Linked DNA regions of Styela clava. The protein of the gene in region 4 interacts with the protein of the main gene of each other region in a pairwise test. Links are inferred from orthologs where the notes say so. Each region holds a gene or a part of one and is shown on either strand. Other genes may lie near its edges.

What was found.
Region 1: the proteins of tuftelin-interacting protein 11-like (region 4) and leukocyte receptor cluster member 1 homolog interact in binary tests that used the Homo sapiens proteins (3 or more experiments, as listed by UniProt). The link is inferred for Styela clava from reciprocal best matches to the Homo sapiens genes TFIP11 and LENG1.
Region 2: the proteins of tuftelin-interacting protein 11-like (region 4) and exosome complex component RRP46-like interact in binary tests that used the Homo sapiens proteins (3 or more experiments, as listed by UniProt). The link is inferred for Styela clava from reciprocal best matches to the Homo sapiens genes TFIP11 and EXOSC5.
Region 3: the proteins of tuftelin-interacting protein 11-like (region 4) and bystin-like interact in binary tests that used the Homo sapiens proteins (3 or more experiments, as listed by UniProt). The link is inferred for Styela clava from reciprocal best matches to the Homo sapiens genes TFIP11 and BYSL.

Annotation. Positions count from the first base shown.
Region 1 is NC_135251.1:20,484,541-20,492,079, forward strand, and holds leukocyte receptor cluster member 1 homolog, read left to right. Parts: upstream 1-4,808; 5' UTR 4,809-4,923; coding exon 4,924-5,757; 3' UTR 5,758-6,530; downstream 6,531-7,539. Other genes in the region: palmitoyltransferase ZDHHC21-like, read left to right, coding at 6,560-6,731, 6,882-6,973, 7,324-7,439.
Region 2 is NC_135253.1:19,713,777-19,722,046, reverse strand, and holds the start of exosome complex component RRP46-like, read left to right. Parts: upstream 1-4,316; 5' UTR 4,317-4,347; coding exon 4,348-4,450; intron 4,451-5,421; coding exon 5,422-5,657; intron 5,658-6,517; coding exon 6,518-6,559; intron 6,560-7,544; coding exon 7,545-7,886; 3' UTR 7,887-8,270. Other genes in the region: uncharacterized protein LOC120326325, read left to right, coding at 1-801. UniProt on the Homo sapiens protein: Non-catalytic component of the RNA exosome complex which has 3'->5' exoribonuclease activity and participates in a multitude of cellular RNA processing and degradation events.
Region 3 is NC_135262.1:15,087,068-15,094,618, forward strand, and holds bystin-like, read right to left. Parts: upstream 2,609-7,551; coding exon 1,298-2,608; 3' UTR 1,257-1,297; downstream 1-1,256. Other genes in the region: dnaJ homolog subfamily C member 27-like, read right to left, coding at 6,150-6,974; mitochondrial import inner membrane translocase subunit Tim29-like, read right to left, coding at 7,279-7,551. UniProt on the Homo sapiens protein: Required for processing of 20S pre-rRNA precursor and biogenesis of 40S ribosomal subunits. May be required for trophinin-dependent regulation of cell adhesion during implantation of human embryos.
Region 4 is NC_135264.1:14,210,292-14,219,085, forward strand, and holds the start of tuftelin-interacting protein 11-like, read left to right. Parts: upstream 1-4,818; 5' UTR 4,819-5,008; exon of another isoform or gene 5,009-5,013; intron 5,014-5,610; coding exon 5,611-5,813; intron 5,814-6,532; coding exon 6,533-6,673; intron 6,674-6,946; coding exon 6,947-7,116; intron 7,117-7,801; coding exon 7,802-8,001; intron 8,002-8,794. Other genes in the region: protein FAM81A-like, read right to left, coding at 96-229, 602-730, 1,267-1,380, 1,899-2,028, 2,700-2,803, 3,197-3,334, 3,793-3,889, 4,366-4,406. UniProt on the Homo sapiens protein: Involved in pre-mRNA splicing, specifically in spliceosome disassembly during late-stage splicing events. Intron turnover seems to proceed through reactions in two lariat-intron associated complexes termed Intron Large (IL) and Intron Small (IS).

The DNA.
Region 1 (7,539 bases), on a different chromosome or scaffold from region 4:
ATTTATGTTTAAGTTCTTCAATATATATTTCACTATTATAAACTGATACATTGTTTTTCCAGAATTCGCTCCCTTTTTCTTCCAAGTTGGTGTAAACTTCAATATCAACCGAATACATATCATGATCAGAAATATAAGTTGGACAACAGTATAAATTTGATACTGAACACAAGTTTTGCGAGCAGTAGATACGATCTAACCTTGCTTGTACGGTGTTGTTTCGCCATGTGTAAAAAGTATTGTTATCTGGAAAATATTCCACAGAATCTATCAAATTAAAGGTGTCTATAAGTTCATTTAACGCCTCAGAAATGTATTCCTTTTTAGCTCGTTTGGTGCTTTCCGATCTATCACGGTCACGGTCAACATCATGAACACAGTTCATGTCACCTCCCAAAATAACAGGATACTGTGAATGTATGAATCTGTAGCTGTTGTTATAAAAGTTTTCTTGTGTTATAATGCTTGTTCTGCAGGGGGCATAAATATTAACAAAATGAATTATTTCTCCATGGATGTTTATATTAGCAGTCACTACTTTTCCATTATTGTCAAAAGAAATATTACTAAATGAAAAATTGTTCAGTTTTGATTTAATTAATATAGCGACACCCCTATAGTTTGAGTTCCCGCTATTCCATAAACTTGTATCCCATTTCCACTTCCGGCGCCATTTTAATGCAACGTCTGGGGTGCAGTGCGTTTCTTGTAAAAATATCACATCTGCTTTTTGCTTGGTTAATCCATGAAAAACATCTTTTCGTTTTTGGTTGTCTCTTATTCCATTTACATTAATTGTTAATATTGTTAAATACAGCACCATTATATGTGTTTTTTTATTTCTTATTTGTTCTTTGATTTGGTAATATGAGAAGAATTACAAGTGTTATTCGCTCATACTCTGAAGATATTCATTTGCCTCTTTTATGGTCATAGTTCTTTGTTTTCTCCCCGTTTTTTTCTTTCTTGGTGGTGATCTTTCATTTGAATCAGTGTTAGTAGATATTTTTTGTGTTAGATTTTCTTGCTGTTGTTTGTCTCGTCCCAAAACATATAATATAGTTTTCTCTGATGAATTAGATTTGCTTGTCGAATTCTCAGAGTGCATCTGTTTTTCATTCCCTTTTCCATTAATTTCATTATCTTCACTGATGTCTGAGATGTTGCCAAACATTTCAGGTTGTAAACTTGATACAGTTATACATTCTTCTGCATTTGCTGGTGTGCTTTGTTTTGGGCTAGCATTTTTTACTGGTTCTATATCAATAGTTTCTTTTTCTTGTCTGGGTGTAGTTTCTTTTTCTTGTCTGGGTGCTAATATGGTTTCGTCATCTCTTACATTTTCTGGACTTGTTAATTTTTGTCCTGTATCTTTGTATTTTACAAATTTTGGAATGAATTCCTCACATGCATTCTTCAAATGACCAGTTTTGCCACAAATGCGACAAGTTGGTTTTTGTCCCCAATATTTAACGAAAAGAGAATGTCCCTTTATTTTGACATAACTCTTGATGGGTTTTTCCATAATATCATCTTTTCTTATAAAAAATCTACGAATACCATTTTTTATGTTGAACCTGTCTTTTAATGGGAGAACTTCTCCTATTTTTCCATGGTTGTTTTCAAAGTGTTCTTTTATTTCAATTTCCTTCAATGGGATTGGTACATGATGTATAAAAACAGCAACATTTCCGGGAACATAAAGCCTATGTAGTAGTAGGTTTTCTGCCCCTATTCTTTTCATCTCCCACAATTTCTTATCGACATCTATCGCAGTTGTTCTGGTTTTGTATGTATATCAACTGTGGTTTTAGATGTCATCAAGAATCCATCCACTGATTCAAACACAATACCAACTTTTCTGAATAAATCCCATACATCTTCTCTTCTAACAATCTTGTCATCACCAAATTTCAAGGCCATACATTTAGACCTATCTAAAGTGGATCTTTCTTCTTCATCTTTTTTCCGAGCATTTCTCAGTTTGTCAGAATAAAGCGACATCTTCAGATATTACTTTATAAGTTGTTGATTAGTCTAGTCCAGGCCTGCACAACTCAAATTACCACGAGGGCCGCAAGCATAAATTTGAAGGCTCGGCGGGCCGCAAACTTTGCCACATACATATTTCACAAAATGAACTACAAATCGAAATAATATTGTAAAACAGTTAAACTTAATGAAACACTTTCATTACTGGGGGGGCTTAAAATTATGAAGAATCTTATTTTCCTGAGTAAAGACAAGGTACAGTATTTTTGCATATGAGATGGCAAATATGTATTGAGTGGTTCAACTACCTTGAAAATCCACCCTTCATTTTCAATATTTCTTCGACTGTTAAATTACATTTTTCTACAAAATCTGCTCCAATTTTTTGAAATTTAACAGTAAACAGCAAAATCTTTTGTGCGAGAATTTCTGCACCATTCATAAATGAAGGAATTGTTTTTAAGTTTTAAATTTGAAAAAGAAACTACAGTTTCATAAACTGCTAGTAAAAAATAGTGGAATTATCAATAGGTAGCTAATATGCACTAATGGGTGTGAGATTGTGCCGATATTGTTTTAAGCGTGATTCAGTTTGAACACTGAGATATCTAAATCAGGGTTTTCCAAACTTGGGGCGAGAAACAGTTAAACTTAATGAAACACTTTCATTACTGGGGGGGCTTAAAATTATGAAGAATCTTATTTTCCTGAGTAAAGACAAGGTACAGTATTTTTGCATATGAGATGGCAAATATGTATTGAGTGGTTCAACTACCTTGAAAACCCACCCTTCATTTTCAATATTTCTTCGACTGTTAAATTACATTTTTCTACAAAATCTGCTCCAATTTTTTGAAATTTAACAGTAAACAGCAAAATCTTTTGTGCGAGAATTCCTGCACCATTCATAAATGAAGGAATTGTTTTTAAGTTCTAAATTTGAAAAAGAAACTACTGTTTCATAAACTGCTAGTAAAAAATAGTGGAATTATCAATAGGTAGCTAATATGCACTAATGGGTGTGAGATTGTACCGATATTGTTTTAAGCGTGATTCAGTTTGAACACTGAGATATCTAAATCAGAGTTTTCCAAACTTGGGGCGAGAGGTCGAGCAACAAATTTTAAGGGTCGCGAAGGGCACACCAATTTCACACAAAGTTCGATATTTATTGAAACTAGTGCAAAACATAAACCTCCCGATTTCGAATATGATCGGCGTAGCGGCTCGCTTGCATAAATAACAATGCCGGCTTTGATTGTTAGACCCGAGAAGTGGCGTGTTTCCAAATCAACCGCGGGCCGCACAGAAGTATCTGGCGGGCCGCATGTGGCCCGCGGGCCGCATGTTGTGCAGGCCTGGTCTAGTCTAACGTTGTTTATTATTTTATATAATATCTTATAATATAATATCTGTGACACTATATCAGGGATGGCGAACCACTGACCCGCGGAACTAAAATATAAATGTTTGCAGACGTCTCGAAACTCACATTTGAAGAATGATTTGCTGTCACCAGATGGGGTTTTGGCGTGGAAACACATCTAGAGGGAATTTATGAATATATGTCTAAAAAAAACATTTGAAACAGCCATGTAAACTAACAGACCAACATGTTTAACTCAATAGCCTGATAAATTGCTACAACACCGTTTCGGTATTACCAATGTCACGGAAGTAAACAAGAAATTCGATGTTCCGGACAAAACGTCGCATAAAACTGAGGATCAACATAGCACACGAGAGGGCGCCGTAGAGAGAGTAGGGTCGAATGTTTGCTCGTTTAAAGTTTGAGTTTCACATTCACCTGTGTTAACTTTTCATCGTCATTTTGTTTTTGTTAGACTAGACAGGGCGCGTTTTCTGCAAGACCGAGAAGATTGCTGGGGTCTGGTATAGTTTAGTACCACATGCACTTCTAGTTGGCCTGGCTCAACAATTTTTGCATATGTCAATCCTAACCCTCACCTGACTACGTCACCCAAAAAGTACCGGTACGTCATTTCGACGTCACAGTGGCGTAATAATGACCACCAAAGTACAGAAGTATGCGAATGGTCGTCCAAAACGCGCAGACGAGCACCCGAAATCGAGCAAGCTACGGTATCTCTCTTGTTTTCTCGTCACAACGATCACGATAGGAGAGAGATCGCTGGCTTTAGCGAGTTCGTTATCGGCGGCGCAGATGTCATTTCAGGCGATCGTAATTATACTTTTGCAAGACCTATGACGTGATGGCGACGTCGTAGTGACGTAATTTTTGGATGGCATAGTCAGGTGGGGGTTAGGAATAACATATGCAAAATTCGTTATGCTACGCCCACTGTAAGTACCTGTGGTACTAAACTATACTGGACTCGATTGCTGAGTTCTTCATCGCCGTAGGGCAGTATGATGAGAATGACAGTCTACCGTATGGTACCGGTACCTATCGTTTATTTACTGCAATTTTGGATTTGGATTTACATATTTATCCCGGGGGAGAGGAAAGCCGATAAGACGGCTTAATCGTATGGTGAACCACGGCCTCTTGTCCGGTTACCAGTCCAGGTCGGGTATGGGATTAGTTAGCCAGTTATTTGTTTTCGAAAGCTTGGACTTCCCGACAATGATGCAATCACAGACGAGAGAACTGGGTTGATTTTAATAAAACAACTTTGTTTTTTTTATATTTGTATTTTTATATCTTTTAATTTGTGGTGTGTCAAGTTCAAGAAGGAGAACCATTTTTTCCCAATTACTAAGCTGTTTTTATATGTTACTTACAACCTAGGTAAGTCAAATCCTTACTAAAGCCCAATCATAATACAATTTTTTTTTCTTTAATCTTCAATCAGTATACTGTTTTGGAACATTTTAAATCAGCAGTATGAATGAATGTTATTGAACAGTATTTATTACATTAAAGTTGGTTTTCGTTGGATTTTTTAAATGAATATTCTGCCAAAGAAGAGTTGGCATGTTCGTAATAAGGATAACGTTGCCAAAGTAAGACGAGATGAAGAGAATGCAAGGCTTGAGGAAAAGGAGCAAAATCGTCGCGCTGCTTTGGCTGAGCGAGAAGCAAGAACAAAACATCTACGAGATAAAGCTCGTCAAAGAGCAATTGAAACCGGGGCTGATTTTAAACAAATAGAAGGCTCATCTGAGAAAAGTCTTTTACCTACAAATTTCTTTACGAATTCAACACTTGAACGGGGTGCAACTTCATCAATAAAAAATGTGGAACATGAAAAAGAGAAAAAAGAAGAACAAGTGAATTATGAAAAGAAGATTGGTCTCTTGACTTACTTGGGCCAGAGTGCAGCGGAAACAATGGAGGACTCTGACAAGCCATGGTATTTTAAAACACCAAAGCGATATTCAGATGGTAAAAAAGGGGATTCGTCTATCGAGGATCATCAAGAAGCAGATTTGAAAAGAAAAAATTCTTTGGATCCAATCCAAGCAATGCAAAATCATTTACAGAAGAAAAAACTTGTGGAATCGAGAAAAGAAAAAACGAAAAAGAAACATAAGAGAAAACACAAACATCAACTTTTTGAAAAGGAATCTGTCCCACGCCGATCAGGTTCATCTAATGATAAATTAGCGAAATTAAGAGAAGAAAGACTTAAGCGAGAGAAAAAGGAAAGAGAAAGGACTATAGCACTTTTAAATAATGGAGAATCCAATTCATCTAATAATTATAACATTGAACGAGGGCGATATAATTCCCAATATAATCCTCATCTTGTGAGACAAAAATATCATTCTAAATATTGATATCAGATCGTTTTTATCTCTGAATAAGGTCCCGTCTTTCACAATATATTTTATCAGTATCACTGTGATTAAACAAATCAGTTAGATATCTTGTATACATTTTAAACCCCAGTTTTGGGTCTAAGCGCCTAATTTGCAAGTCAAGCTAAATCTCTGATATTCGATTTGTGAGCCCAGTCCAAGTCGTCGTGCATTTCACATTAACACCAAAAGTTTTGTCTTGTGTTTAACCAGAGTTGTTTTGATAATTTAATCAGTGTTGGATTTAATAATGTATTGCAGTATTTACCTCTCCATCAACCCATCCTAATATGAGTTGGCCTATTTCTACAAGCTGTAAATTTTTGGTTTTCCAATTCAGTATGTGGTAAATCATTTTTTACCAAAATTTTGTTTCATTTTCAAAATTTTGACCGAAATTATCTTTAGTCCCAAGTCATTTCTCTCTGGTGGTTGGAAAAATCTTTCTGTTTAAATGATCTGAGTCACTTCGACTCTGTGGTTCCCTAAAACTGTTACACAGATTACAGATAAATAATTTGCATTTTTCCGGGTAATATAAAAGAGATTCTATTCTTCCATATTGAGTCCTACGAGAAACATTTGTGATGCAAGATCTCTGAACTTATTCGTAACTTATAGTTTAAGTGATTTTAAATACAAATTGTCGTTTTGACATTTATAATCATATCGACATTGATATTTATAATATTGCGCATTGATTTATATAACAATGTTATTAACTAGGATATTTTTGTTTTTGAATTTCAAGATGTAGTTTTAATTTTTACTGTAAATTGATATGGCTGACTTTGTACAGTTACCTTTTGGTGCTAAACTATTATGGGATCGCAAAGGGCTGATATCTTCATCTGTTGTATTATTTATATGGATGTATGGTCATCTCATAGTTTTTCTACCAATTCTCGTACCTCATTATAAAGATGGAAATATTTCTAGCATTACAATTTCAGGTAAGCTTTCAAAATTAATTCCTTTTATATTTAAAATTTAATTCCTGGCGCAAAGAACAAGTGTTTAGCTTATGCAAATTATTTTAACATCAAAAATATATTTTATAACACTATGAGAATGTGGCGATACAATATATTTCATATTTTCAGGATATCTTTTTCTCAGCATTGCAACCATTGTTGCATTTTTCCGTTCCATGTTTTCAGACCCTGGAAAGGTAGAAAAGGTTGAAGATACAAAGGTATGATTTTGCTATAATATTTTGCTTTCTTTAAAAATTCGATTATTTTTTTCAGCTATCAGTTTCATGCTAGTATCCCTTAAACAGTGCACTATGATTTTTAGCGAGCCAATGAGTGAAGAAATATATTTTGTAATATGTTCGTTTCGGTTTTGTTGGTTTTTAGTATATTTCAAGTCCATATGTTATCTTAATGAAGAAGTATTTTTGTTAGATACCAAAGGAAGGAGGTAGTACGTTCATCCTAATATGCTAAACATTCTCAATTGACTTGAATTCTATCGCATTGGATTTTATATATGCTATTGGTCTTCATCCTCCATATATTTACTTATTATTTATGTTGTCAGATTGATTGGCGAACATGGGAAAAATGTGTGCGATGTTGCATGGCTCGACCTCCAAGAAGTCATCACTGTAGCAAGTGTAATTATTGTGTGTTGAATATGGATCATCATTGTCAATGGTAATATAGCTGACTTTAATTAACCTTAATAAAGTGGTCATATTCGTGATTTAAAAAAATTAACATTATTACTCTTGTTAAATATGATTCAGAATGTGAA
Region 2 (8,270 bases), on a different chromosome or scaffold from region 4:
ATGATACCTGCCAACATAATATCTGAAACAGAGCAGTCATACACACGTTTGCATGATAATCCGAATTCTGTTCAAGCAAGCAAACTGAATGTCACTTCTGTAATTGATGATGCAAAAAGTGTTATTTCAAAAGAATCGGAAAATAATACATCTACCAGTTCTTCTATATCTAGTCAGTCTGACACTTGTACAACTTCCAAAACTGTGACTAAATCCGGGGTAACTCTTGTTAAAAAGGGTTCGCAAGTTTATACAAAAATTATGCCATCTCGGCCATTCTCTGGGATTTCTCATTCACCACGAAGCGCATTTACTCCAGCAAAACATAGAATAACACCTGAACCTGGGAAATCTTCAATTTTAAAACGAAGTCCGCAAATGGATAGGCTTGCTGCTTTATCACATAGTAATCCCAAAGCACCACTTCTAAGATCAACCTCAATGCCTGTGTCAATAGAGGATGATAAAACTTCTCAAATACGACCACACAAGACTTTACTTCGAACTGGGTCAATATCTGATTACACGAAACAGAAATTGAAAAGTTCAATTTTGATGAGAACTTCAGCATCACTGGTGCGTAAACCAAGTATTACAGAGCACGAAATTGAACAAATTTTAACTGATCCAGAATCATCTCAATCTGAGGACGATGATGAAATTGAAAGGAACTTTAAACCACTTGGTTCTCCATCAACCTCTGCTTATACTTCAATAGATGTGATCAACAGACCGGTAGCAGTGACCCCTGTTTTGTCAACAAACAAGGACGTCCCAGTTTCAACTTCAACAATTACATGAGTCGTGGCTAGTTTTTGCGCTATCGAATCTGAATTTGATGTCACTCACCATGAAAGTCTTGACTACATGAAGAGAGAGAGAGAGATTTATTGTTCGTCAACCAGAAAAAACAAACTTTGCATCAATAGTTAAAATATACAGCAACTTAAGGAAAGGTTTTTAGCTTGATAGTCTGATGGAAAGATGAAGAAAAATCATGTCACAACAATGCAAATGGTATCATATGACATATCAGAACCTGAAATGGCCCAAATTTAATACTTAACTACTTCGCTCGACATCCCAATCAAACATCCATACTTCGAGTACATCCTGTAAACTTCGTTAAATAAGGAATGCCCGATATAATCTATCCAGTTATGTCTACAGAATGCATGCATGTATAATTGTACATTCATAGGATTGCAATATTACAGCTAAGAAGAGCAAAGATAAATTTTGTTTTATTTTTTTTTCATATGGAATTGACCGAAGCCTATTATTTTGTCCATTTTTGTATCATTAGCTATAAATGATAAATGTGTCATTTAAATATTCTCTATTTTGAATATAACCGATTCTGAATGTTTGATCAGCACTGGTATTCTTTATGTATCAATATTCTGCCATTATTATGAGGTCATGTAAGCGTGTCATCAATTTTGTTAAATACTGATTTTGTTTTGAATTGATGAAGTCATTTTTAGCCTATATCTGTCCTCCATTTCAGATGATCAGTAAATGTGCATAACATAATGAATAAAGTTTTTCAATTTGATTTTGAATATAATACAAAGATATTGAGAAGTATTGGAAATATATTTTTTCAGAGAAAAATTAATTTTTTTAGAAACCAGCAGTAGGTTTGTTAATCTGAAGAATAGTCTGAAAATACATTGTTTTTTTTTGACAATAACTAAGAAGAGTATTGTTCATGCAAGTAAATTTATTTTATTGTGATGCGATTTACTGTCATCAATATCTTATGTTTGTTTATATACCTTCATCAATAACATATAAAGGCTTAGCAATAAAGTCTTGATGTTAGTCATAACTCATAAAATAGAGCAGCATACCAATGCAATCAAAATAATTGATAATATTTAATTTTTCTTTTCAAATTTTAGATCAACTTTCGCTATATAATAGTAATATGATTTTTAACTGAGAAACTAAACATTTATACACACCATATTCTGTGTATACTGTATTTATGTATTTGAAATTCATTATTGTAAATTGGTATTCACTGTTTAATTGTTTGACAATAACGTATATGTGTCTCATACTGAACTGAGCAAATTTCGTACATCAACCCACCAAATGGGACACACATATGATCATGTGTTCAACATTTCTATCAATGCTATCAGAATGATAACTTTGGTTTTGGTGCAACCAACTGAAGTGGGTGCTATAGCCAAGCTAAAGCTTTAGACTTGATTATTCGGGCATCGCAGATTGCACCAGGGTTAGAAGCCCATGTGCACTAGAGATGTACCGATACCACTTTTGTCGCCGATACCGATACCAGCTAAAAACGCCGATACCGATACCGATACGCCGATACTACAAAAAGGCCGATATTACCGATATTCCGATACAGATACTATGTAATTATTACTTAATTAGGTATGCTGTGTAGGGCAGACGGGTTAAAACAATGGTCTTTAAGCGTTGTTCATAGTACACATTATTTCAGATCAAAAAAAAGATATATATATCACATAATATGAAATTAATGTTTGGTATCCATATACTGTAACTGATTAAGATACATTGTACAGTAACGCTAGTAATCTCGGTGTTTAATTAGAAAACTCATAAGCCGAGATGTCCAATTTGAATTTAATGTTAATATCGCGAGCTTCGAATATCGTTATTCGTGTTTAAAAGAATATCGAATATCACCCACACATTCTAGCGCCGCCGTCCTACGTTCAAATTAAAAGCATTTTACAAATATTTAATTCAGTGGCTAATCGTAATCGTCGACGCAATAAGTCAAAGCCAACATGAAAGAATATCAATCAGCACCGACAAAAAGAAGGCCCACCGATAACCGTTGAGGATGTTTTTTTACTTCACTATTTTATAATATTTTACAATTGCTATCTTATATTTTGAGACAGTCTAGGGCTAGGCGGTCAAGTCAATATATCTATAAAGAAATCGTGTAGTTAAGCAGAATTAAAATTAATACCTGTGTAGAGGGATAATTGTGTCGGAATTTAGTTTATCGATGTCGACGGACTAAATGACACTCGTACTTGACGACAAACAGTCAGAATTTATACCCGTGCCAAAAGTCCATGTGCCGTTAATAAGGAAGGACCCCAATTCCACTGCATGATTTAAAACTGGGCGCCTAGTTGCTTTTTGTTATGTGCTGTGTTGATATATTTCTTCATAAAAACTATGTAATATTAAAAATGTCAATATAAAAATTTGACAGCGAAAATAGCCAAATTAGTTGAGCTAGTTTAGCTGATAAATAGCTAAAAACATGTGAATCCTATTCTCTCGCGGGGGTGGGGACATGTATGGCTCACGATCTCTCCAGACAAAAATAAATTAAAAAGTAGTATTCCAACTTATCTTTTAAAACATTCTGGACCATATCAAAAAGGTAAATATATCGGTAATATCGGCCTTAATCTAACCGATACCGATACATGGCCGATACCAAAAAAATGACCGATATTGCCGATACCGATACCGATACATCGGTACATCTCTAATGTGCACCTAATGTGCACCCTAAAGTGCTAAGACTTAACTGTGCGGACATCTATAGTTACACTATGGTTCAAATCTCATGCTCACAACAATCTCACCCAGGGTGTACTACGTTGAATCTTGAAGATTCCAGTCTTTCCAAAAATAATAACTTCTCACATATTGCTAGATATCAGTGGGGTCTTATGCAGGGCCACATACAGAGCAAAGTGTTTCATTATTAAAATTAAAAATTTCCGAATGTTGGTTAAATTGCTGTCTTTTGCAGTTGGACATGCAAGACTAGTATCAGACAATTATGGTCTTCAAATGTAATTTCTTGATATATATTATAGCTTATTACTGCCATTATTTTATTTTTCTGCTTTTATATCTATGATAATGCTAGTTATGTTCCAACTATACATAGTTGATAACATTTTTCGCCTCTATTTAAAATCGGTTAGTTTACCAAATTTGCAAATTTTTTATATCTCACATTTGCTTTAGAAATGCTTGATCTTCAAATATTTCTTCTCAAACTGTTTTATGAAAACTTACTTAGATATGAAACTCCTTCTAAACTAAAAATTTTGCTCTTAGGCCACAAGAAAAATTGAACACGTTGGTTATGGTCAACATATCATTTTTTTCTATTGCTCTATTGTTTTCTAAAAGAAAATGCTGAGATAAGTTTTGATACAAATATTTAAGTCAACAAACCCACCGAGTGGACATTTTCCAATTTTGGTTCTACTGCTACATTTTTGCAATACCTTATTTATATTGTTCTGTTTTTCTTTATATACAAGGATTCATTGTAGTGTACATTGTGATAGAATAAAAACAATGAAGCAGAAAGAGATGCCCGGTATTACTGTTGACATGAAAGTTATGAGATGTGAACAAAATATTCTCAACAATCCTGATGGATCTGCTGATTACTCTGAAGGTTTTTCAATTTATTGTGTTTTTTTGTACTCTCGTAGTATGTGTACCTGATTAGAGTTGGACCATAATTTTATTCTGATTTTCCTTATTTTAGTTCTATTATGAGTTCGGGGACTGTCTGTGTTAGCAAAAAGAATATACTCCCTGCCCATAAGCTTTCATCCCTTCATACAAATTGATGTAACGTACCGGTAGGCGAATAAAATTAGTTACCTTCATATGAGTATATATACTTCTGGAGCGCCGTTTTTTTTATGATAAGATGTTTTAATCTGAGCTTAAATAGGTGTTTGCTTAAGGTTAGAAAAAGATTGGTGTTCTGATTTTGGAATGACAATTACTTTTCCACTTCCCACCAAATTTATTATATTACACATTGAGTGAGGTGCAGAATGAACCAATTGATTGATCAAGTCTTTCACTAATCGTCTTAAACTGTGAATAGCGACTTGATAAACTGTTAGGCAATGGCATATTCACATGGCCATGTTTGGTAATTCAGTAACAATTTATTCAAAAAATGGGATGCAATGACGGGACCAGTTAACAAGTTTTATATTTTAGAGATATTGCCGAAAACTTTTTGTCAGAATTATTCCACCTGCGAAATCAAATCTACTCGTCATCTCTGGGTAAAGGCAAAATATTCTTCCTGCAATCAAAAAGTCACATAATTTATATTCTGCTCTGAACATTTCACTATCCAGGATATCAAAGAATAATTAGAACAGTTGTTTCAATAGAGTAACTCCATGCTTCCAACAGAAATAGATATATAGATTTATTGATTTGCAACCAAAAATGAAAGTAAAAATACAATGAATGTACACAATGTTTTCCGGTAAAGACCAGAGGGAGCGATACCATACAACCATATGATCATCTAAGTCAGAGATGGCAAACTATAGTTCAATTGATCAATTCCAGATTTATTATTTGCTCTATTTTTAAACACATTCCATTTCAATTTAGGTGACACAAATGTCCTCGTTGCAGTTTATGGACCGGCAGATTGTCGAGAAAGTAAACAATTAATTGACAAAAGTACAATTGAAGTTTCATTCCGACCCAAAGATGGGATTCCTGGCGTTGCGGAGAAATACTTGGAACACACAATAAGGCATACATTTGAAAATGTCATCATGACACATCTATATCCAAGAAGTCAAATAATGATTATTATACAAATTGTTCAAGATTGTGGATCTGTATCCTTTATTAAAAACCTCAGATTTACTAATTTATTTTCATTTTTATGACGAATATTTTGTGTCTTTTGCTCTGAGCAGGGTACTCTCGTAGCATATGTGCCAGGTTAGGATTAGGTCATAATATTATCATAATTTTCTGGTTTTAGTTCTATAATGAGTTCAGGGACTGTCTGTGTTATCCAAGTGAATATCCCCCTTGCCCATGGGTTTCAGTCCCTTTACACAACTTGATGTGAAATAGGCGATCAAACTTAGCTACCTCCATATTGGTACACACATTCTTGGAGTGCCCTGAACAAGCCCATCTGTACTTGCAGACATTGATATCCGAGGTTATTTGAGAAGCTACTGATTTTAGGAGAACCGGAATTTGAGTTTTAGTAGACTTGATTATAACTTTGAGTTTAAAGAGTTTGACTGGTTCAAGCCAGAGATGCCTGGAACTAGAAGGAATTAAATATTCAAATAATTCGAAAATTAGTTATATTCGATTGAGTAAAGTCTTGATTTTAGGAATAATTCAGATTATATTCTTTATTAGCATTTATTATTTTATGATAGAGAAAAAAATTAGTAACTACTGACCAACTAAAATAGAGAATATAGATTGGAACAAATGTTAATTTAAATTCTACTGCATGACTGAATTTGATTTCTATGAATTTACAATTGTCTTTAAATATATCTCTTGTTGAACAGACCCATTTCAGAATGTATTTCATATTCGATAAGATTATTTTACGATGTATGAATTGTATTGAATAGTGGATACTAAAATATTTGGTTTTGGCCCTGAATGGTTCAAGACATTTCGATAAAGATTTGTCATCAAAGTTCCTTAACTACATTTGAAACAGCTTCTTTCTTGTGCTATCAATGGATGCAGCATGGCTTTACAGGTGTGTGTTTGATGTTTTTACTATTTAATAGACTTCTTATGCTCAGCCAAATATCAATATCAATGAATTCTAGATATTCGCATATGGCATATTCGGCTGAGCAGCGGGAATACTTTTGTAATCGCTCCTCTGATTACCCCGTTTGGATTTGCATCCCACAATATATGATGTGTGAGAGGATTTCTAGACTCCTCGGGTAAATTACGGCTTCCTCCACCATCAAGTCCTTGCATTCGAAACAAATGACTTGCTATCAGATCCAATACCAGACGTGGACTAGTGACTACTTGAGACTGTGGTGCGTTGCATGAATAAGCATTATTGTGGCTTTCTCCTCCCCCTGGATAAATTTGAAAATCCTGATATTAATGTGACACTCGGGGACAAGAAAACTCTGGATCGTTTTTCAGATAAGTTCTGGAATGTGGATTGGTATGTCATTGACAAATATAAATATGGTGAAAGTAATAAAATTATGGTTTCATATTTATTTCGAAATGCTCTAGAACTCCAATACGAGCGGTGCGTCCACCCTTGCGGGGTGGGCTCAAAACTTATCAAGAATCCACAATAAGCCTCAACAGTCCTTTAACACACATTTTTTTTATTTAAATATCCTTCGGCCCACAGTAATAATCAGAGGTAAATTGATTACTCCTGATGAAGATGAATAGAAGCTCCCCACCAAATATAGAACAAATAAGGGTGGTCATGTAAACGTTCTATCAAAGGTAATGGATTTGTGGATACTGCCGTAGTATGTGTACCAGGCGAGGCTATAATTTTATTCTGATTTTCCTTATTTTAGTTCTATTACGAGTTCAGAGACTGTCTGTGTTGGCCAGTCTATACATTTCAGTCCCTTTACACAACTTGATGTAAAGTAGGCGAACAAAATTACTTACCTTCATATTGGTACACATATTTCTGGAGTGCTGTGTGTATGCATTTATATCATTTCCAAATGCCTACAATCTTGTTTCAGGATGCTGGAATCAGCATGACATGCATGCCAGCTGCTATATCGATGGCTCTTACGAAACGAGCAATGGAATATGGAATTTCAGAACCTGGTGAAGGAGACACACGAGAGGAAGAAGTAGTACTGACTCCGGCCACCACTGAGGAGCAAGAAGCCAGTGCTTCAATGTTGTTTGTATTAGATAGTGTGAAAAGAAATGTTATATCAATTATTAGTAAAGGAACAATAGACCCTGTGTTGCACAAAAGGTGCTTGATAGCTGCAAGGACAGCTAGTGAAATAGTTTTCAAATTTTACAGAGATTCTGTTGCTAAAAAAGTCTCTTCAAGTGTTGACTTTACATGACTCTTCGTGATACTTGGTCATTTGCCATCGGATGGCCTTGATCAGTGAATGGTGGTGGCCTATTTGAAATCCTAGGAACGGATTCTCTTTTGAATCAAAGTCACAACAGATTCGTTCCATCATATGTCACTACGGAGGCTACATCAACATGGCCCATTTTACATAAATCTAATACAAAACTTCAGAGACGCCAAATATAAGGCTAGTTGTCATCTGTGTTACGAGGTATATGTTTCCTTCAGTCGTCTAACATTTCAGCTCTCTCGCTGATTATTACGACATTCCAAGAACGGTCGTGTGAGCCTCCTGCGTAATGCAGTTCTCCACATTACTGCACAACATCCTAAGGTTTCTGCACAAAGAAGACTGGTCCTAATGCATTTG
Region 3 (7,551 bases), on a different chromosome or scaffold from region 4:
ATGAACAACGCTCAAAGACCATTGTTTTAACCCGTCTGCCCTACACAGCACACCTAATTAAGTAATAATTACATAGTATCGGTATCGGAATATCGGCCTTTTTGTAGTATCGGCATATCGGTATCGGTATCGGCGTTTTTAGATGGTATCGGATCGGTATCGGTATCGGCGACAAAAGTGGCATCGATACATCTCTAATCTGAATTACTGCCCTGTTGTCTTTCGACGCTACTGTTGTAAAATTTTATTACTGACTTCATTGCTCCTTTGAAAAGTTACGAAAGTTACGAGGTAAATAGGAAAATAGCCATAGTTAAAGGGTCTTACAAAGTTTTGGGAAGATTGTAGAAAGGCGCTAATGCTGATTCTTCGTTTAACAACAGTAAATAACCAACAACAAGTAAATATACACTTTCTTACCCCTTAAGACTGAAGTAATTGATTTGTCCCTACGCAGAAGTTGTGAATTCATGCTATATTCATTAATACCACATTTGAGTTGTCATTGTTTTTAATAGAATTTATTTTACTATGCCTTCGCTTTCATTAGTAAACAAAGATTGTAATGTTATCTGTATAGAGAAATACTGTCATTTTTCTATGTTACATACGAACTAGTGTGGCTCGTTGGAGTTAAATTTTAAGGCTATAATATATATAATAATTTCATCACAAATGAACCATAGTTACTAGATGATTCTGAGGTGTGAACGGAATTTATTCCCGTGGATGTTTATAGTATGTGACGGGATCGCTGGACGCCTGGACCCATGGTTCAGCCTATCACTGGAAGGACCACGTAACCCGCTTGTCACGTGGCAGCAGATTTTGCGCTTCCATATGGTCATGAACTTTTCAGATTACACAGTTATAATGACAACTTTACTGTGTATAATCTTAATCATATTACGAACAAACAAAAAAACATGCTGGATGGCATGCTGGGATATGCCATCAAGGGCGACGGGATTTCGGTATTGAATTATTGCCCTCACTTATTCAGGGGCCTAGTTACTGAGACAACCGGCTGATGAAAACCAAGAGTCGACATTAAACAAACGAACTATAAACATGCAAAACTTTTTGATAAAGTGTTCTCAGGATATGAATCTCATATTTTACACCCAGATTAAAGGGACTCAATCAAATGGCAAAACACGCCTCTCGCTGCCAAGTAAAATGAAAATGTGAAGTTTTGCATCGAGATCTAAAACGCTAATACCTGCTACACTGCTTACTGTCAAAAAACAGTCAAAATAATTTTATAATTTATTGATTACAAGATTAAACTTCATTGTTATTCAGGTTCCTCCATTATAATTTCTTTGCTTTCCCTGGACATGAGTTGTTGTCTTATTTCTGGTGTGATCTTAGGATGGATTTGATACCTCAGCAACTCTCTCAAGCTATCTGCTTGTTCATCAGAGACATCATTTCTATAGGTCTCGACAAAGGATAAAAGACATTGATGCCATAACACTGGCAACTCCCTTTTGTCGTTACGAAACTGAGAGAAGTGGAACACAAGAGCATCAATGACTCGAAATGGTAGTGCATACTTTTTAGTAATCAAAGCTCGGAGAAAAATGCTGTTACCACCACTATAATGCATTTCTGCTATTTTGATCATTGCTGCACTAGCATGAAGAACAGGTATCGTGCATTTTGTGATGACGCTCGAGATTATTGTAGCTTCTCTCAAAGTACATGTACCTTCTTCACATAGTGGCAAAATGATTCCTTTAAAAAAGGCTGCCGGTTTGTAAAGCGCCTTTTTTAATGCCATAAAAAGGTGAAAGTTCAATCTTTTGTAGTAATGAATATCATCCCTTATACGTGGCAGTAAAACCAAATTAAAAAATCTTTGAGCCATGTGAACGTTAAGATTTGAAGCAAATATTCTTGTTGCTTGATACAACGCAGCTGCACTCCAAGTATCCGGCTCCGTGATATACAAAATCTCTTCCCAATTTTTAAGATGTGGTAAAACTTTGAATGCTTTCGGCAGCTTCCCACTTCTGTATCTAATTAAAATGCTTTTGACATCTTTGTAAACTTCAATGATTCTAGGATCAATATCCGGCATGGGATTTTCAACATCAGGCATTAGTGTAGAGACATCGGTTTTCTTTTCTGTAATTTTCTCCATGATTATATCAGCTAAAGTTCTTCTTGTTGGTGGATCAGGATTCATAAAAGCCTGTAATGCTTTTTCATCTTCTTGATTTATAACTATGTCTTGATCTTGATATTCCCCTGAAGCGGCAAGAGCAGCACTTTCTGCTAAACTTGGCCACTCATCTTCATCCTCATTTTCTGAATCGGAATTACTTTTCTTTCCTAGTTTTATTACAGTTTTAAATTTTGAAGCTCCGATCCCAACTTCTCCTTCCAGTTCTTTTTGTTGTTTTACTGCTGCATCAAGAATTTTTTTTGTTAATCGATTATCGACAAAATCATCTTCTTCTTGTCTGAATCGAACCTTCGGTTGCCGATTTGATGCCGCCTTAGTAACATTGTCTGCTGTGATATCCTCAACCAGACCAACTGATTGCTTCACAGCCAGAGGCTCTGCACGCTTCGCTTTGACTTTTTTACTTTTTCCCATTTTTATCTTGATTATGGTAATATTTGAAAATCTAAAATTAAAATAAAAAAGGTGGAAGCATGAAATCACACAGAAAAATATAAATTATAATGTTAAATATATATTTACAGCACCTGAAGTTAAAAAACAGTAACTGTATAAAACTTGCCACATGGCTTAAAGAACATATGTTGCAAAAGCATTAGAACAATAAATTACCACATGCAAATACTCAATTATGAACCCAGGTTCAGTGGCGCAACCAGGCCGTTTTCAACGGGGGGGTCCGACCGGAATTTACACAGTGCAACCACGACGTAAGTCGCAACGCCACTAGGTGTCGCCCCGCTGACCACGATAAATTGCTCATGGTTAAAAGGGAAACGCCATCGATTAAATCCCAGCCTTTCGCTTACCTTGCACTCGTTCTTAACGGCGCTTCGCTATGTCTTGCACCTCGTGGGTAGCAAAACGCCGTTCATTACATTCCAGCGAATTGCTAACGAAAAGCTGTTAATTATTTTCAACGTTTTCCTCGCTTTGCGCCTCGTGGATAGTGAAACACGGCTTGAATAAATTCCAGTGTTTCCCTCGTGCCGCGCCTTGCTCGTTGGGTGAATTCGTCAAGACTAAAAACAAAATGCACTTCTTGCGAATGGACCTTTTCCCGACCCTAACCCCGGAAAAATTCTAAACTAAACTGAAGCTCACCGGAAGACATAATGACAATTAAAATAATTGATTTACAACTAATTTTTGGAAACACAACTAAAAACTGACTAATTTAATGCAGGGATGTCCAAATCGAATTTAAATTCAAATATCGCAAACTTCAAATACTGTTTTTTCGTGTTTATAATAATCCCAAATATGGCGCACATATCCTAGGCGTCGTCGTCCATGTGTGGTTCGGCAATATATTACAGCTGACATGAAAGACTTTCGATAAACGCCGACTTGAAGAACTTATAAGACTTCGAGGACGTTTTTGATTGAAAATATTTTCTTATCGGGTATTTTAACTTAGTCGAGATGGTTTAGGCGTCCTCGGCAAATTGTGTCTTAATTAGTTGTTTTCATCCTCAGTTTCGATAGTGACCGAACATAACAGAAAATTTTTTCATTTCTTCTAATTTAGCGCGTATAAAATAGCCCTTAAATAGTATTTAATATCTATCGCGGATTTCGTTGGCATCCGGCATTGATAACAACATCAGTTCAGTTAAAGTTAGCGGTATTCATTTACAAACAAAAATACATAACAGCCGACATGAAATATTCAAATCAGCGCAGAATTCAATAATAAAACACGTTTTATGGTCTTAATATGCACATAGAAAGAAGAAAGGACAGAGAAATAACGACTAAGAACGGTATAGTATGTTTGTGTACTTTTGTTTACCATCGTCATCATAATCAAATTAGTTAATCCCGATTCCCAAATTTCCGTCCGCCAATAATGGAGAATGAAGATGGAAAAACGTGTTTTACTTTTTGAGTCAGCGTTGATTTAAATTTTTCATGTTATGTGTTATAATTTTTTGATTATAAACCAATACCTCCAACTTAAAATGAACGATATTGTTATCAACGACGTCAGGACTCGGGATAACGATAAAATCTCCGATAGAAACCAAATAATATTTAGAAGCTATTTTATAGATTGCAAGAAATTAAAAAATTTCCCGTTAAGTTCGATAACTATCGAAACTGAGGATGAAAACAATTAATTAGGACAGGATTTGCTTTTAAGTTTATTGCCGAGACGCACAACATATCTTGACTAAATTGAAATATACGATAACAAATGTAAAAAATTTTCAACCCAAAACGTCCTCGACGTCTTATAAGCACTTCAAGTCAGAGTTTATTGAAAACCTTTCACGACGACCGTTAGTTATTGCCGTGCCACACATGGCTGCTTTCGATTGCGATAAAAATGAAATAATTGTGGAATGTTTTTAAATCAGAACGTGGACGGGGGCGGTAGGATGTTTACGGCGTTTTCGGCCTTTCATATGTAGAAAATCTTAGGTTATTCGAAGCAATATTTTTCCGAAAATAATTTTCGTATCCAGATTTTCAGAGTTTCTACTGCATTATTATAACATGAAGACGGGCGGCGTTACATTGCGTCAAGATGATGAAGCACGAGAGTATTCGTCACAAGAGAGAGAGAGATAGCATTATGCTATTGTCGCTTTCAATTCGCATCGACAGCGCGCGATTTCTACTTTTTTGAGATAACATATCTCATTTTCGAATACAAACATATACGCGGCGTTAGCGATTATTACGTAACTATCAGCAAAAAAGTATGATTGAAGTCGGGCGGTGTTAAATTACGTCGAGGTGATAAAGCACTGGAAAAAAGTAGTTTTCACCCGATTGTTATGACTGTGGAACGACGTTGTTTTAACGTAGAACAATAATAAAAAAAACGAAATTCAAACGGGGGGGACACGACCCCCGTAACCCCCCCGCTGGTTGCGCCACTGCCCAGGTTAGTAGTATAAATTCTCAGACATGAATTTTTAGTAAATTTTGAAGCAATTCAACTTAGGAAAACATATTCCAATCCAGCCACTATTTTCCACACTTTCATTGAAAAAAAAAAACTATGTATAATCTGAGACTAACATAATAACTATTTTCCATAAATGTGGTACCACTACATTTAACAAACATGTGTGTGTAATAGCTGGAGACATTGATATAACCAATTATTAACTACATCAATAATTTTGTAATACATATGAGATAAAAGAGTTAGTAATGTGTTGTTTAAAATTATAGGTAAAATAGAGAATTAACTAAACAGAATAGTATACAAAATATTACAAATACAAAATTTTGAAATATAGTGAAAAATATATATTTTTCTCTAAAAATTAAAAAAATAAAGGCAAAATCATAAAACTATATTACTCCTCTTAATAATAAATACCGGCACCTAATATTAATGGAGAGTGTTTTGTACAGATATCTGACTCAAAATTCCATTAAAATTATGCAGAAGGAGTGAATATTTGAAGCTTTAGTAATAATGAGGATATCTAAGAATCTGACATCACAATTCACAACACAAATAATTAATTTCGATGAATTGATTTAGTTAACAGGTGTATTAGATATAATGGATGCAATATTTAAAAAAAACTTTCAATTTGACTATTGAATAAAGAAATTTGTTCAAACAAGGGCCACATGCACTCACTCACTTATATATTAAAGGGATTTCTCGAACTTTTACACCGAATTTAATCTGTTATAAGATTGCATTTGAAAAATTCTAAATTGTATGTACTTATTTCATCCTCGGTTTGTTGTTAGATATATCATTATGTGCTTTACTTTTCTTTCTCGTAACTTTTATGCAACTGCTTTTAAGGTTGAAGGTAAATAACCTTTATGACCAATAGAAATTGAGAAATATTCCCCCACTCAAGATTTTAAACGCCTGTGGGCCATATTTTTCATAATTTCAAATCGTTTGATAGATATTACATATAATAAATATATGGTACAAAAAAAAAGCACAAATATTCAAAAAATCAAATGATCATCTATTTTTTAACAATGCAGTTCTTGCATTGACAAGAAGTTTGAATGCATCTTCACTTCCAGGAGCTACATTTTTATCAGGATGAAGCAAAACAGCAAGCTTACGATAAGCTTTATTAATATCATCTCTTGTCGCAGAATGATGTACTCCAAGTTTTTCATAATTATCACGTCCATTTTTTATCCTCAATATAGCATCGGCTTGTTCTTTCGTAAAACCAAGATTGGTGTTTACAGGACCACGCTTTCCTCCATTTTCAGATAGTTCTACTAATGCATTAAACATGGCCTGGAACATTTCATTTACACCTTCCCCCGTACCGGCTGATGTTTCAAAATAATGAAAACCTTTTCCATCTGCCCATAATCTTCCTTCTGTTGTATCAACCACTCTGTTACCTTTATCAGTTTTGTTAGCGCAAACAAAAAATATCACATTGTCCATTTTTTGAGGTTTTCCAATTTCTTGCCGCATTTCTTGTAACCATGATTCAAGGCATTCGAAACTGACACGGTTTGTTACATCATAAACAAGAATTGCAGCTTGTGTGTCTTTGTAAAACTCATTTCGTACTTCGTAAAAGTAGGGATGTCCTGCCATATCGAAAATATTTACTTTCAGTTCTTTATCATTTACTTGTACTTTTGTGACACCATAATCAATCCCAATAGTCGCCAGATATTTATTTACAAATCTCTTTTCACAGTATCGCTTGATTAAACAGCTTTTACCAACTTCGGCATTGCCCATGCTAATTACTTTTACTCTTATACTTCGAGGATGACCTTTTTTACGGGTCAGTGGATTGGTGTTGGAAGACATAACTAGAATGTTGTTAACGTAAACCTAAACAATAAATGACATTGAATTAAATGTAGACTAACAAACTGGATACCAGATAAAAAATGCTTGGAAAAAACAAAAGCTAAGCAATTAATTACAAATTTTTACTCCGCGTAGTTCAAAACATTATGAAAACCATAACAAACAAATAAAAAGAAACAAATTTATGACCTCAGAACTGATGAATTTATTGATGTTTAACCACATAAAAGTTTAAATACCTTGTAGTGAATTAAACAATTTTAATAGGTGATTGAAAAAAGACAAAATACCAGTATGTATTCTATTCAACAACTTCAATTGCTTTTCTAACTTTTCTTTGCTCAGATAAAGGAATAGCAGGATTTCCAAAATATGAAATTTCCAATATTCTGTTGAAAAAGTCTTTTATTTGTGCCCATGTGGAATCAAGGTCTTTTGGAAACTCTTCAAAATTTATATCATAGTCTGTTGTATGGTATCTCAGCACCCACCATCGTCGATATAAACCAATATCCACTATTCGATTATGAAATTCCCTCCATTTTGGACGTAAAAATTTACATTGCGATTCATA
Region 4 (8,794 bases):
GTTCATAGGGAAAAAAAGGATTTCCTGGTCTTCATTGACAAACAGGATACATACGCTAGCTCTTCTAAAATAAAAATAACTACCAGACAACTTACATGGATCCAATTCTTGATCTGCTATCCAATGTTGAAGTCATTTCTTCTCTGACTTTACTTATGTCTAGTTTGCATTCCTCAACTGATCTTTGCAAGGAATCCATCTTTTCCAGCAATCTTGTTTCCATTGCATCCTGCCATGATAATAAATAAGATATTTTGAATTATCAATTTTAGGATGTGGAAATTTATGCTTTGTGTTCAGTCTAATAGTTAGTCCGGTGGAGCTGACTGTGATGATGTTGCAGTAACTTGAAGGTTAATAATCTTGATGTTCTAACCTTGGCTTGGGATTAATGAAGCCGAATCAAAGAGATTGGCTGCTTGTCTTGCCTCTTAATCAGAGTGAAACACATGAGAAAATTTACATTCAGGAGCTTCCTTTCATGCCAGACAGGATTTCATTACATATAACTCCCTATATATTAGTGGCATAGTTGCGGAACAGCTATCAAAGCTCTCTTGTATATTTTGGCTCTTTAAAAACAATGACATATATTATTCACCTGTTTGCTTTGAGCCAGAGATGCATTCAGTTCCATAATTTGTGAAATTTGATGTTCAATCCTGGTTCGTTCACTCTCAGACCATTTCCGATTACTATCTATGGAAAGTCTGATGTCTTCCAAGACTTGCTGCAGAGAAAAACCGTAAATTCAATTGTTATCCCATTACCCACTTGGCAATATGGCCACACCAACGTTGTATTGGATGGAGTAGTAAATGCTGAACCTGAAAGATTTAGGTCCTTCCAAAAATAGTTGCACCTTTGTCCTTGTATATCATTGGCTGCTTAATTCAGGGCCTTGTTATGAGTTTGAATAAAATATATCTTGTTTGCTAACATATTCTTTCATCAAAGTGAAAGTTGTCAAACATTACGATCTTTATTGTATTTTCATTCGGCTAATGTTATGATTTTACAGTGCTTCGTTAAAACTGTACAAACAAGGTTTATAGAAAGTAGAAACTGTCATTAAAGTTATAGCATATCATGGCTCAACTTTTGCATTTAAGAGGCTTCAGATCTGTCATAATAACGCTCGCTGAACATTTAATCATTTCGAACATGTTTCAAAAACAAGTTTCATCGATTACATCGTAGGTAATAATTTAAAAAAATTTCAAATTTCACTGTATTTGTGAAATCATCACATGAGTGCAAGCTCACCCTCATTCTCGAATCCATAGCTTGAAGTTGGGAAGAGCTTGTTCCTTTTATAACTTCTATTTTCCCTTCCTGCTGAGTCATCACAATATCAAGTCTTCTGGTCAATTCAGAAATCTGAAGCACAATTGAGGAAAAAGGCAGTATTAGCCACTGAACACTAAAATTGAAGAGACAAATGGCAGGAGACTACCAAATTTAAATGAAAGGATTTTGGCAAACGTATTGGAAAGCCTGTTTTTCTCAGTACTAGATAATGAACAATATAGGATAAAGCGAAAGACATAAGGTGTACAGAACTGAAGACATGAAACATCCATCTGGCATTCACACATTCAGGTAGGACATGCTTATCACATTTATGTCTGGACCATGATTGTCTAACAATAAATATTAATAACAAATACCTAATATAAATTTCTTAATTTAAAATCAATATTAGCCCAGGAAGGTATAACAACTCGTTGCATACAAAAATATAAAAGTTGAAAGTGAGTATGACATGGAGGTTCAAATTAAACACAAACAAGACACAACCAAGGAAATTTTGCTAAAATGTCAATATAGTAAAACAAATCAAAAACCTACAAAGCGTTCAACTCTTGCATACTTTTATAGATATACAAGCTACAAACCTCTCTTTCAAGATGATCTATCTTATGTTTATTTGTGTCTGTGCTTTGATCAACATGTTTTTTATCTAGTTCATTGGCTGATGTTGCCGACCTTACATCTTGAGCAAGTCTGGCAATCAGAGCATCACATCTAAATTTTTAAAAAAATGTTTAGCAAAATGTACTGAAATCTTGGAGTAACTATAAAAGCAAAACTCATATAGATGGACCAAATGCTAAATTGAGAAAATATCCAAAAAAACTTATGCAAGAATTAATTGAAATACCAATTTATACGAGAATACATTTAATATGTAAGTGGCAGCTGGTCAACAGCAACACATTTACCAAATCATCTCCAAATTTAGCCAGAGATTATCTATTACTAACTTTATAAACAATAACAACTGAGTAGCCATGGAGTGTGCAATCAAATTAAAAATATTTTTTGTCTAATCATAGAAATCAATGGGTAATTTATAGTTGCTATCAATGTAATACAGCACATAAAAATTAATCAATCTACTTCGTCTATGTCCCCATCTTATTTCCTGCCCTCAAAAAAAAGTGGTAATTTTCCATAATCAATTTTCAACCCTCGCCATATTTTTTCCTTATTTTCACCAATATCAAATTTGAAAACTAGAAAAAGTTCGTCTGTTCATAAAGAATACGGGAATACTGTACAATATCATTCCAGATATTTAGCCAACAGCGACGCTTCTACACACTTATCATCAATGCTTTAGCTTTAAAAGCAACTAAATTTTTGATAAGACAAAAACGGAGTGGAATTGATAGAATAAACAATAGTAGTCTTACCTTGCCACACGACCTCTCAGATCGGCAACCCCCGCATGAGCAAATTGTTCAACATTTTTAGCTTGATAGGAAGCATCCACTATTCCACGATCTCTGGATGAAATCTGACAATGCAATCATTTCAAAAACAATCAGATATGGGGTCCTGATGGGTAAAGCATTCGACTTAACGGTGATGACATAACTAAATGGAATCTTGGGTTCGAATTCCACAACCACCGCCTTACCCTGGATTTGATGAATTAGGTAGGCGGTATCGAACTGATAAGATTACGGCGCTTCCAAACTATGGTATCTCCTTATCTAGCAGTGGTGACTTGACTTGTGCAGAGTCTTGTTCAGAGAAAAGTCATATACTATCGTTAGATAAAAAATTTAGATAGCAGGGTTTCATCATAGTATAACTCTAAATTATATGTCATCAAAGCGCTCCATACGAGCCCACGGAGACAGAAAGCTAGGGCTTTATGCCGATAAACTCCGAGTTAAAAAGTTACCTCAAATTTAAGTTCTTCAACATCTCGACTCAACTTTTTAACAGAGCTTGTTACGCTTCTGATATGCTCGTGCCATAATTGCTGCAATGCATCATCCATACTTGATGGTCGAATATCACTGGATAAAGCTTCTTTGAACTGAGAATAAAAAAATAAAGAAATTTTACTGTAAGTATAGCCTAAGTATTAGTATAGTCAAAGTAGCTATTCACATTTAGTGGTCGTCCGTAATTTCATTTTGAGATCAGTCTCCTTAATTTCGGAGTAAGTTTGTGTCACTTTGCTTTGAGTAGCAACTTGAGTAGCCTAACTTTTTTTGAACCTAAAAAACTGCAAACAAGGCTCTGTCATGTGAAGGAGGATACTATTTGCCCTTTACATTGATCATCTGACTTTTTACATTATAGATAAGCTGGGAAGCTTTAATTAGATCAAAACCTCCAGTCCGCAATTAAGACAAATTTGAGTTAAATATCATATTGATAGAAGCAGTAAAACAATGTTATTAATAACAGAGTGCACAGCAAAAAGAAGATTGAAAATATATTCAAATCGAACAAATAGTAATTGTAAAAGAAACGATTGTTGAAACTTACTTCAAATGCTTTTTCAATCAATGATTTAGTTGCTCTTTCCTGTTCTAACAATCTGTCCTCCAAATGATTTAATCTACGATTACCCCGACGATCAGATCTAAATATATCAAGAAGTTATTTTCATTTAGACATAAAAACTTCAATTTCATGAAAGCCAATCTTGGAAGTCAATGTTTTCAAATTAATACTGCAAAATAGTGGTTTATGTAATCGCTAATAGCTAATTCTACTACCCATGTCTAATCATGTATATATAACCTTGCCACGCAATAGAAATCAGAAAAAAACATATCTGGATATTGTGCCTAACTTCAAATACTAAAATATGACATAAACTTAAGTTATGTCTGGTTTACAAAAATTTGAATATCGCCAATCATATTCCTATAGATCTACAGCATGAAAAGTAAATAAAATATAACTTTATGGTCATAAATCAAGGGTACCATAAACGGAACAAACACGCGTCTTGTCATCTATAAATAACAGCAATAAAAGTTGGAAACATTTGGATTCTGTCTTCATAACAAGGTTATATTACTTCGTATATAAAAAAAATAATTCAGCACATACCTTCTAACAACGACTGTACCGTCGTAACCGTTATCGGACATAACTTCGCAATCTTTCCGTGTTTTTTCCGGGAGATTTTGATAACGCAAAATCCACGAAATGTCACCAAAACACAAAAATCTCAGCGTTGTTGGAAACGTAACTGTTCATGCATGTCAGTAATTTCCTTCTAGCGATTCCATTGAGTTTTAGTAAATATTCACAGTGGTAATCAAAACCATGATATTCAAAATTCTAAAAAAATGATTAATAATCTTGATCTAATTCGGAAACTAAAAATAATAAAAAAAAAAATAAAAAAAAAAATAAAAAATGCTAACTTTGCCAGATCGTATTTCTGTACCGTAATATGGATTTCACAGCTATGTTCTCTATTTTATTTCATCACTTCTTGCAATATCTGAAAACTAAAGGCTAAAATGTAATGTCGTTTGTTTTTTGTTTTGCAGATGTTTTTTCGCATCTCCCTTACTATTAATTAATTATTACGATACTATTAATTATTTTTACGGGATTTATGACGCTTTTGAAATCATTTGTCACTAAAAAACGGAGAAAGGACAAAAAAATTGTGGATATTTATGAGTCTGTGACCTGGTGACTGCGTGAGGAGAAATAATACTGGATTTTCTTCTTGCTGAAGGTACGGTAAGCTGTAATAATTATACATTTCAGATAGCAGCATATCTCAGTAGGTACGGTACCGTATCTGGGCTTATAAAACTATATTTTCGAACAACCAAAAGACCTCATTCAGGCATTTCCTTGCTTTATTGTAATATCTGAATTTGTTAGGATGATTGAATGAATTTGCGAATGTTTAAAATGAGGAAATTTGTAAAAGCATATCTAATCTACATATGTACCCTATATACATATTATATATATTATTTTATTTAATATATTATCTTTATGTTTTTTATTGCTGATAGTCAAATGCTGTATGTTGCATAGTGCTATGCTAGGCATTAAGAATATGGTACCCACTGGCTGGGAAGCACAGTTCTAGGGAATTGCTGTACTCGTAGCTCTTGTTTGGTCAGTTACCGCATCCACCAAGTCTATGGATGTGAAACTAATTACTAGACTTGTTTACTATCCCGATACGCAACATGCTCACCCAGACAATTGGTTGTCTTATGATTAAGCCATCTTATCCTCATCCCTGCGATAAATTAAAAAAATTCGAACCTCCTGCTCATTAATATAGGCTATTCATTTTTACCATTTTAATTCTGTCTTCAGATGCCTCCCAAAATGTCGAACCGTCAAAGAAAAATAGCGGCCATGTTTGCCGCTGATAGTGAAGAAGAGAATGAGATGGAGAAATTCGAATTAACGAATGATGACATTGCTAACGAATTTAATCCAGATCGACCACAATTCAAGCAAACAAAGGAACAAGCTCTTTATGGAATCTGGGCAAAATCATCTGAGAACAATTATGGGTTAGTTATTCAAGACTGTCAAATTGAAAAATCGATTTTTAGTTTGTTTTTTATGTGAGATTTCCTCCAAACAAGGCAACCATTAGTATGCACTACTATTTTTTATGACCCGGAATATCTTTGACCTTTTCTCTTTCCAGTTTATTATGCCCTGGGTGAAGTGTAGGCTTGGATCTGAGATATTTAATGCGCAATGCCAACACTATAACCATTATGGCATCACAATCATTGTTTGAAGCAGCGATTTCCAACCAGGGGCCGTTGCCCTCTACGGTGTTCAGGGAGCAGTTGGAGGGGGATGCAATGCTGGATGCAAAATTAACTTTTCAGTTTACAAGAAAACTCCCCTTTTTTTCTAGTTTCATTGCTTGAGAAGGTTATTTCACAAGTGTCATCACTTTTTTAGGCATGAATTGTTTGAACTGGAATGATAAACAAGAGTTCGAACGCTTCCAACTTATTCAAAGACATGTGGAATCAATGTATATCTGATCTATCGTATTAAGCATCAATTCAAAAATTTATTCAAGACTGAAATTATTAAGAAATTTGTTATAAGCTCATTGATAATGCTTCAAAAGTTATTAGGATAAATTTTTCTTTTTAGTATAAAATGAACATTAAGTAAAGTATTGATAATTTGTGTTTTCAAATTTTATAACAGGTTTTAGTGACAAAACAATTTTTTTTTTATCTACTACACATTCTAATTTTTACAGCAAAAAGAAACGCGATTTCTCAGCACCAGTAACCTTTATCAGTGGAGGTTTAAAAGAAGGAGAAAAACGTCAACGATATGATCCAGAAGAGGAAGAGAATATGGATGATTATGATGTTGAAGGAAGACAGACTAAAGAAACGTATATTGTTTTTTCAATTCTTAATTTTTATAAAATAATTATGTTTGCTTTTATTAGAGCAGTGGTTTTCAAACGGTGGGGAACGTAGACAATTTTTTAAGGAGACATGAAACTAATTAATTAAGTTACAAATTCTCTCGCCTTTTCCGCTAATTTTTTTGTGGCCCAGCTAAATGTCTGAAATGGGTTATATGGACCATCAACAAATAGTGTTGCACACCTCTGTATTAGAGTAAGAACTTATAATATATTCAATACTAATATTTATTTCAGCAAACCTGTAACTCTACACTCAGTCCAGAAACCAAAGCCTAAGCCTTCGACCTCAGCCGTTGGGACTAGTGGATCTGGTGGTCATGCATATAGTTTAACAGCGAAACAAAAACAGAAAGAAAAAATGGCGACGCAATTTGGGTCATTTGAGAGGCATACAAAGGGAATAGGTAATTTATTAGTATTTCATTATTAATTTCAGTCTTTCTTTAACAAATGAAAGCTTAAAACTTGGGGAACAAACATTTTGTCTGCATTACTACTGTTTAAATGAGATAGTAAAACTGGGGCGAACACAACTTTTTGTTTGGGTAGATGTTGCTTACATGAATCCCGTTTGTGTGACCATCAGACCACTGTTCTTCCCCTAAAGTGGTTATCCTATGATTCCTAAACAGAAGATATTGTCAGACACCCAGAATAGGGTGTCTAACCTTTTTTAGGACCACAGACTATTTTGAACCAAATTAAACTCTTCCCCTCTGTTAAGTTTCGTTGACTATACTAGGGGTTCTCAATCTTTTGGAGTTATGGAGCCCATAAAGAGGTTGACTATTGTTTTATAAAAATAAAAACACATCTAGAAACATTAATATTTACCGTTTGATGTCCTTGAAAAAACCAAAATTGCTTTGTTGAATGATTTGGATGAATTCATATTTAAAAAATATTCAGTATTCTAATAAGTAAACAATAGCTCGCGGAGCCCCTGGGTTTTTTCTCAGGGAGCCCTGGGGCTCTGAATGGGGCACTTTGGGAACCCATGGATTATACCGATACAATATAATCACTAATGACCTCTTCGTTAGCATCTCTGTTATGTCCCTTTTTTTTAACTAATTAACTTCTTTTTAGGTATGAAACTGATGAAAAAAATGGGTTACAAAGTCGGTAAGGGTTTGGGTCGAGATAATCAAGGTATCGTGAATCCAATCGAAGCAATGAAAAGAACAAAGAAAGCCGGATTAGGAGCGGCAGGAACCGAACGAACAAAACAATCGTACATTCATTTTCCAACGCAGGATTCAGAGGAAGAAGAAGAAAAGGATTTTAAGGTGAATATGTCTTGAATGAAGAATAAAATGTCTTCGTATTCAGGGCTGTGAATTCCAGGGTTAGAATGTTTTTACCAGAGTAGAGTCGTATTTTCAAACTTGTCTGATTCGGAATTCTCCGGAGTCAGAAATTTGAGTTTTTCGATTGTGGTTACAGAACACGAAACCTTCTACACAGATTCTACAGATTTAGTTTACTGAGCATTCATATCTGTCAAATAGAAAAACCGGTACTCCTGTAGTATGTGAACCAAGATGGCTAACATAGGAACGTAGTATGTGTACCAGGTTAGGGTTGGGCCATTATTTTATTAGAATTTTCCTTATTTTAGTTTCTATTACGAGTTCGGAGACTAGCCAATTGACTTCCGTAGTATTTGTACCTGAAACTATGGCCTAACCCTAACCTGGTGCACATGCTATGTTCCGGTGTCCGCCATTTTAGTTTACATACTACGGGAGTACCGAAAAGACTTGCATATGGCAAGGTTTTGACGCAATCGCAATCAAAATTTTTTACAACCAGGAACCAGGAAACATTTTTTGCGACTCATAGTTTGTGTCGAAAGTTCACTGTTCTGTTATCAATATTCTTTTCATTGTGGAATGGTAGGGTTTTAACTACATTGTCATATGATTGACTTTAGTTTGTTATCGGCTGTTTTTTCAAAACATTTGAAACTTTGTCCTATTTGCTGGATAGACGGTTTCTCTTATCACATTGTCTTAAATGGTTTTCTTGCCAAACAGATAATCTTGTTCGAGAAAATCTACTTGAAGAATCGATTGCATA